2 linked regions of the Macaca mulatta genome follow. The protein of the gene in region 2 binds, or shares a complex with, the protein of the main gene of each other region. Links are inferred from orthologs where the notes say so. Each region holds a gene or a part of one and is shown on either strand. Other genes may lie near its edges.

The links.
Region 1: CC2D2A (region 2) and TMEM107 share a complex: the UniProt entries of both Homo sapiens proteins name them as parts of the tectonic-like complex. The link is inferred for Macaca mulatta from reciprocal best matches to the Homo sapiens genes CC2D2A and TMEM107.

Annotation. Positions count from the first base shown.
Region 1 is NC_133421.1:9,692,360-9,696,632, forward strand, and holds TMEM107 (transmembrane protein 107), read right to left. Parts: upstream 2,828-4,273; 5' UTR 2,736-2,827; coding exon 2,649-2,735; intron 2,473-2,648; coding exon 2,405-2,472; intron 2,322-2,404; coding exon of another isoform or gene 2,304-2,321; coding exon 2,203-2,303; intron 1,366-2,202; exon of another isoform or gene 1,267-1,365; intron 1,100-1,266; coding exon 1,003-1,099; intron 758-1,002; coding exon 688-757; 3' UTR 433-687; downstream 1-432. UniProt on the Homo sapiens protein: Plays a role in cilia formation and embryonic patterning. Requires for normal Sonic hedgehog (Shh) signaling in the neural tube and acts in combination with GLI2 and GLI3 to pattern ventral and intermediate neuronal cell types.
Region 2 is NC_133410.1:14,561,619-14,565,194, reverse strand, and holds part of CC2D2A (coiled-coil and C2 domain-containing protein 2A), read right to left. Parts: intron 3,290-3,576; coding exon 3,188-3,289; intron 2,171-3,187; coding exon 1,994-2,170; intron 1-1,993. UniProt on the Homo sapiens protein: Component of the tectonic-like complex, a complex localized at the transition zone of primary cilia and acting as a barrier that prevents diffusion of transmembrane proteins between the cilia and plasma membranes.

The DNA.
Region 1 (4,273 bases), on a different chromosome or scaffold from region 2:
GCATTCTCCAATCATCATGTTCTAATCTGCCCTCCAAAAGAGGAACAGGTAAGGATTATCCCACCTGACGATATTTCTAAATAGCCGACATTCCGCACTCAGTCAAAAAGATTCCGTTTACAGCTAGGGTGAGTTCACGACGCGTTGGTATAAGTAACCCTACTACTTAGCATCCTTCCAGTTGTATTGCCATATTTGCTTGCACATTTTTAAAAGAATTTTTTCGTTCGGCTGCCGAAAAGGAATAAATTTCTTTTTCCCAGAATGCTCCGATCATTTACGTGCTGGACGTTCTAACTGTAAGCACTTTCTATTTACATATCTCCGCCCACTCCCTTCCGCCAGACAACTACCGTAATAACCAAAATAGAAGCGATACCAAGTATCTTACGGTCTGCAGAACTAGAAAATAACGTTGCTTCTTTTTTTTTCTTCAGTAGTTTCGCCATTTCAATTGTGCCCTGAAAACTGTATATGTCTTAATCTTACTACAAAACATATTTTATTACAAACCACTAAATACAATGCGGATAATCCCAGACTCAAGACGTAATTATTCCAACACATATCCTCCAGCAGAAGCAGTTTCCGAGGGGAGGACCGAAGCCTATGCCTTCCTTCTTCCAGGAATACGAAGCGGCCCTTGCCCCTGTAGCCTTCGTCCTTAGGTTCCCGTCATGAAGGTGCTCAGAAAGGCTTCTTTTTCAGCCCAAAGACGGTGACGAATAAAGTCATTTCAGTGACAGCTGGAAGGGCACTACCGAGGCAAGTGGTAGATTCAGAAACCCGTTCAATATAAATACCCAAATCTCCAAACCAGAGACCCCACCCCTGAAAGTGTAGGACAGGTGGCATGGGGTAGGGAATGAAAATTCAAAAGACTACAGGATGTTAAGTGGATCTGGTATCTCCCACATAGAGGAAAGGGCTGGGTAGGGGAAAAACCCTCAGGTTTAGGGTCAGCCTTCCTCCCTCATTCCCGAATATTGGATGCTACCACACCTGCAGAAGACAAAAATGTACCAATACGTAGTGCACTCCCAACGCTCGAATATGAAGAAGGACAGGGCCACGGATGCACTACAGTGAGCCCCAATGGCTTGAGAAGGCACCACAGTTAAGGAAAGTCTTTGGATCGACAGATAGTGAGGGGTCAGAAAAGGCCAAAGGCCAGTGGTGGGGTTGGCATCTGCATTCAGGTTCATCGTTTGCTCCCTCACCATATTGCAAGGGCTAGAGTCAGCATCCCCGACTTCTGAATTTTAGGACAGTCATGTGAGGAGAGACCAGAAGTGACTGCGCAGATGGGATCTCAGGCTACCCTACTCCATATCTAGGGGCCAGCCTGGATCCTTCAGATGAGAGGTAAGAGTAGGCTCTCCTGCTATGCCACACAGGAGTGCTGACAGCGACTTGATATGCGCTGGAATCAGCCTCCAGTGTCCTGGTCCTCCTGGTCCACAATTCTCTGACCCATGTGCCTGGCTTCCGTTGCCTCTTCTGAGTTCCCAATGTGCTTTATATCTTTCGTTTTTTGCCAGAGTCTTGCTCTGTCGCCCAGGCTGGAGTGCAGTGGCACGATCTCGGCTCACTGCAACCTCTGCCTCCTGGGTTCAAGCAATTCTCCTTCCTCAGCCTCCTGAGTAGCTGGGATTACAGGAGTGCACCGCCACGCCCGACTAATTTCTGTATTTTTAGTACAGACAGGGTTTCACTATGTTGGTCAGGCTGGTCTTGAACTCCTGACCTCAGGTGATCCACCTGCCTCGGTCTCCCAAAGTGCTGGCATTACAGGCGTGAGCCATCGCACCCTGCCTGTGCTATCTTTACACACTCCCATAGCACACTGCTTATCACACTGAATTACAGATGTGTATCTACCTCCTCATGGTTAAAAAAAAAAAAAGTGGAGTTTTTATTATTACTATTTATTTTGTAGACACGGGGTCTAACTATGTTGCCTCCTGCGCGGGCCTCCCACAGTGCTGGGATTACAGACGTGAGCCAACGTGCCTGGCCAAAAACTGTATTTTACTCTCATTTCGGAATTTTAAGTGCCTAGTAAACAGCAGGATTTAGCACATGGTTGAAGATCTTTGAACTGGAGAGACTGGCTACAGCAGACACTATTGTGTCAGGTGGCTGAAGGGAGTCCTGATAGAAATGGGTCGTGTGGGAAAGGTGGGCAGGCAGAAAGGATACAGATGAGGCTCTGGGTGCTGTTGAACATGGAGACTCCTGAGAGGAAACCGGCCAGCTCCACTGCAAAGAGGCCCAGGGTGACAGAAAGCGCGGCCACCAGCCTGCAGAGAGGAAGTGGACTGGCCCAGGCCTTTGGACTTCTTCTAAGACCCCTCCACTCCCACCACCTCTTCGTTCTGGCCACCCCGTCCCAAGAGCTCACTGAATGTCCTGCTTGTCATACTCCTCGGGGGTGAACCTGAGAGGCAGGCAGGCCTGAATGTTGCTGTCCTGGGAGCAGGGCAGAGAGGAAGAGAAGTGAAAAAGGGGCAGGCTGCTGGGCAGGCCTAGGGACGGCGGAACACGAGAAAACCCAAGTGGGTAAGACACTGGGAGAGGGGCAGGGTGGGGCGGGGACGACTCCGAGATGGGAATGGGGGCGGACGGAGGGCAGCCGTGGGTCTTACCCGGGACCAGAATAAAGTGATGACGACCACCAGATGCGCCAGGAGCGTCAGGAAGCGAGAGGGCACAAGCCCTGAGACCCGGCCCATGGCCCTTGGGAACAAGAGCGGCGGTCTCTGAGGCTGGAAGTTCAGAGACTGCGACTCCCGCAAGTCCACCAGCAAGCGGACAAATCTAGACGAACTCCTCCTTTCCGCCAGCTCAGGCACCGCCCAGTTGCCTTGGTAACCGCGTACGCGGGCGTGCTGCCGCGTTCTCGGAAAACCTCGCGAGAGCAGTACATTCTCCATCTGCTGTGGGTCTTTCAGGGCTAACTCAGGTCAGGGGTACCCGAAGGAGCTTCTAACCCAATGGCTGGGTACCCGTGCGCAGCCAGGCCCTTTGTTTCTCAGAGGGTGAGGGGTGGCACAGCCCCGCAGCGCCCGATCTGCCCACGCAGGGCCGACGAACGGAAACCCACCCTGGCCTAGCCTGGGGACACCTCTGCTTCCGCGGTTGCCCACGCCGGGAGCGGCCCCCAGCCCCAGCTACGCTGCCCAGTTGTGGATCACTTGAGATCACTCCCACCGCCACGCCGGGCTGAGGTCCCCGCCATGCCGAAGACTCACACCCGCTCCCCTTCCTCCTCTCCTCATGCCTTTAACTTCCCACCAAGCTGGGCCTGAGAAACAAGGGACCCGAACGTGGAGAGGCCGGTGTTCCTGGACTGCTCGGCAGTTACAGATTGTCACAGAGCCCCTGGTTGTCTGAGGACCCTAGGCCTGAACCTTCCTTGAGGAAGACTGATTTCTCTCAGACTACTTTGCTCAGTTTGGTGAAGGATTTGCAGAGTGCAAAAAGTGGTCAGCGTCCTTAAACTAGCGTGGGAATAAGAGCAAAGCAAGGTGGCTGGAAAGGTGGGAGTGGACGAAGGGAATGGTACAGTCCCTGCGTCTCTGGGAGGCTTGGAGCCTACGGGAAGGGAAACTCAACTTAGATTTCTTTATCTCTTGGAGGTGCTGGACCTCCGACATTGCCCAGCTACAGTCCAGGAAGCTCTTATCACCGGCGACGTCATGACCTTTGGGCCTCAGCGCAGGTCCCTGCAGATCTGAAAGTTCTTCTCTAATTGCTCAGTCAAGTCCCATCCTCAAGGAAACTCCCGGCCCATTTCCCAGGAGAACAATATCTTCCTACTTCCCACTCGACGTCTCAGTGCCTTTAGCCAGACTAAAGTACAAGCCCAAGAGGCATTTCTCATTCCTTCAACAAATATTTTTATATATTTATTTATTACCTAGTAATAGTATTCTAGTCAGGGAGATCAACAACAGACATGCAAACAAATAAATCCGTAAGATAATAGGTGCTACAAACAGGGATACGCGGGCCAGGCACAGTGGCTCACGCCTGTAATCCCAGCGCTTTGGGAGGCCCAGGAGGGCGGATCATCTGAGGTCAGGAGTTCGAGACAAGCCTGACCAACATGCTGAAACCCCATCTCCACTAAAAATACAAAATTAGCCGGATGTGGTGGCGCGTGCCTGTAATCCCAGCTACTCGATTACTACTACTCGATTAGCTACTAAGGCAGTGGAATCGCTTGAACCCGGGAGGTGGAGGTTGCAGTGAGCCGTGCCATTGCACT
Region 2 (3,576 bases):
GAAGCCCAATTCTCCTCCATTTGAGAGTGCACTATGCCTCGTGACTTGCTTCTCCTGAGTAGAATATGGCAGAAGTGACAGTGTGTGGCTCCTGAGACTAGGTCATAAAAGGAAGTGTGGCTTATTTTTTGGGTTCTCTCCTAGATCACTTGCTTTTGGGAAGTTAGCTGTCATGTCAGGAGGACACTCAAGCAACACTGAATGAGCTGAATGCTGATTTGCAGAACGATTGTTATAGTATAAGCTAAAATATTCCTGAGCTTCTATAAATCTAGGTAAAAGAAGTGCATTTCTGGGAGGCATTTTTCAAAGGAGGAGATTATAAGCAAAGCAGAGAATTAAGCCAATTATGCGAATACTAGAATATCCTAGGGTGTTTTCATTATTTTTAATGTGGTAAAATATATATAACATAAAGTCCACCATTTTAACATTTTTTTTTTCTTTTTTTTTTTTTTTTTGAGACAGAGTCTTGCTCTGTCATCTAGGCTGGAGTGCAATGGCACGATCTCGGCTCACTGCAACTTCCGCTGCTCGGGTTCAAGTAATTCTCCTGCCTCAGCCTTCTGAGTAGCTGGATTACAGGTGCCTGCCACCACACCCAGCTAATTTTTGTAATTTTAGTAGAGACGGGGTTTCACCATGTTGGCCAGGCTGGTCGCAAACTCCTGACCTTAGGTGATCCACCTTCCTCGGCCTCCCAAAGCTGGGATTACAGGCCACCGCGCCCAGCCCATTTTAACCATTTTTAGGTGAACAGTTCAGTAGCATTAAGTAAATTCACGTTGTGGTCCTACCATTACCACTATCTGTCCATCTTCCCAGACTGAAATTCTATGCCCATTAAATGACAACTTTGATGCCTTCCTTTAGTCTCTGACAACCACCATTCTACTTTCTGTCTCTATGATTTTGACTATACAACGTAGCTCATATAAGTGAAATCACAGAATATTTATTCTTTTGTGACTGGCTTATTTTTCTTAGTGTAATGTCTTCAAGGTGTATCTATGTTGTGGCATGTGTCTGAATGTCCATGCTTTCTGAGGGTGTATACTATTCCATTGTATATTTATGTTTATCCATTTATCTGCCAATGAACACTTGGGTTGCTTCTACCTTTTGGCTTTTGTGCATAATGCTGCTATGAACATTGATGCACGAGTATATGTTCAAGTTCTTGTCTTCAATGTTTTTGGATATATACACAGAGTGAAATTGAATTGCTGGATCATATTATAATTCTGTGGTTAACTTTTGAAGAACCACCATACTGTTTTTCACAGCAGCTGCACTATTTTACGTGGTTGCAAGCAATGCATCAAAGTCCAATTTCTCCATATCCTCTATGACACTTGTTTTGTTTTTGATAAGAGCCATTCTAATGGCTGTGCAGGGGTATCTCATTGTGGGTTTGATTTGCACTTCCCTTATGATGAATGGTGTAAAGTATCTTTTTATGGACTTATTGTCTATTTGCATGCCTTCTTTGAAGAAATGTCTATTCAATGCCTTTGCCCATTTTTAAATGGTATATTCTCCTTTTATCTCACACATACCACCCACAGTTGCAGAATTTGAGTTGCAGCCTGGGTGTGGTGTTTGGGCACAAAAAGCTGCTTACTTTGTAAGGTTTCGATAAGAGAGAGACTGAGGTTTCATTTGCCTTGCAGAGGAACATACTTTGCACATGGAATAAATACTAATCATTTTGTGGAGTCTAGCAAGAAAAATCCACAAGCCACATTATTTAATTTTTTTTTTCACAAAAGAAAGATAAACAGGTTTAATCAAGGTTCTTCTTACCACATTGTAGGGTCTAACCCAGAGCACAGGGAGCCATGTGAATTCAGTACTTGGGATTTCAACTCATGTGGAGTGTCATTTTCCTGGTGGTGGTGGGTTTTCTCCTCAGCCACTTTCTTTCTTGCAGGTATATCACCCTTTTCCTCCTAGCCCTCCACCCACACATTACCATCCTGATATTAAATACCATTTCCTTTCCTCTTCCTCGTGCAGGTGGTTCTTCTTCTTCCCCTTCCTCCTCCTCTTGATTAGTTCCCGCTCTATGTCTTGCTTTTGGCTTTTCCTCTGATTCTTCTGGTTCGGGATCAAAGCTGAAAGTAAAGAAGTTGTAGGCCTCTTCTGGAGAAGGGAAGCCAGGTGGAACCTAACGAAAAGCAAGGAGCAAAATCGCAATTTCCCATTTATAAGCTGTAATGGGCTCTGCACAATTAACTGACAGCTGGCTTGATGCTAATGGGATCAGGCGTATTCCAGGCCTCCGAAGCATACTGTCTTAGTTAAAGGTGTGAGATTACTGGTAATAAACTTTAATACCTGCCACAGGCAGTGGGAGGCCTCCTTTAATAGTAACTCTAATCAGTGACTTTTAAAAAAACCCAGCAATTATTTACATTCCAATAAGTACATAAATATATTATTTATAGTAGTAAACACTTTAGATAAGGTTATTAAAATGACAAACAGTGGATTTATTGTTTTATCAGCCAATGCTGAGATAGTTTTTTGTTTTATTATGAGAAATACAGAAATTTTTAAACAAATGACCTTTTTTTGTTGTTTCTCTTTTTGAGTTAGTACTCTCCTTTTTTCCTGTAATGAAAGCTGGGGCAACTTCAGAGCTGAACAAATTGTCTCATCACCAACATTTCCTGTCTTTCCATGCACCCCCTCTTCCTCAAGTCAGGCAATATTCTGATCTGTCCAGCTAGTATGAAAGTTGGAATCACTTCTCATACTTTTTTCTTGCAGACTGCATGGCAACAGGAGTCAGGTTGTGTATGTAGTCATTTATTTATTTTTAATTTAGAGATGAGGTCTCACTCTGTCACCCAGACTGGAGTGCAGTGGCGCAATCATGGCTCACTGCAGCTTTGACCTCATGGGCTCAAGTGATCCTCCCATCTCAGCCCCCCAAGTAGCTGGGACCACAGGCATGTGCCATCATGCCTGGCTAATTTCTGTATTTTTTGTAGAGATGGGGTTTCGCCATGTTGTCCAGGCTGGTCTTGAACTCCTGTGCTCAATCGATCTGCCTGTCTTGGCCTCCCAAAGTGCTGGGATTGCAGGTACGGGCCACCACACCCGGCCTGTAGTCATTTCTCATTGGATATTTGTAAAAAGCACAAACGAACAAATGGTTTAAAAAGACAAGATTTCTCACCTGGGGTTTAGGCTTGATTTTTCGTGCAGAATCACGGAACTTGACTCTTGAATAACTTCGGGAATCAATTTCTTGTTGAGTACTTTCTACCTCTTTCCCTGGCTATATGAGTGGAAAAAAATGATGCATAAGCCATTTAAACCAAGAAACTTAGGCTGTTCTAAAATGAAGGTTTACCCCCCTGCCCCAAAGGCTTATCTTCTGACTGCTGTTGCATCTTATCATTCCTAAGGCATGGAATGCTGGCAAATTTCAAATGCAGTCATGCCCTCCATAGCGACAACCTGCAGAACTGCATGCATGACAGAGGTCGTACAGACTATAAATATGGTATTTTTACTCTACCCTTTTTATATTTACATAAAAAAATACTTACCATTGTGTTACAT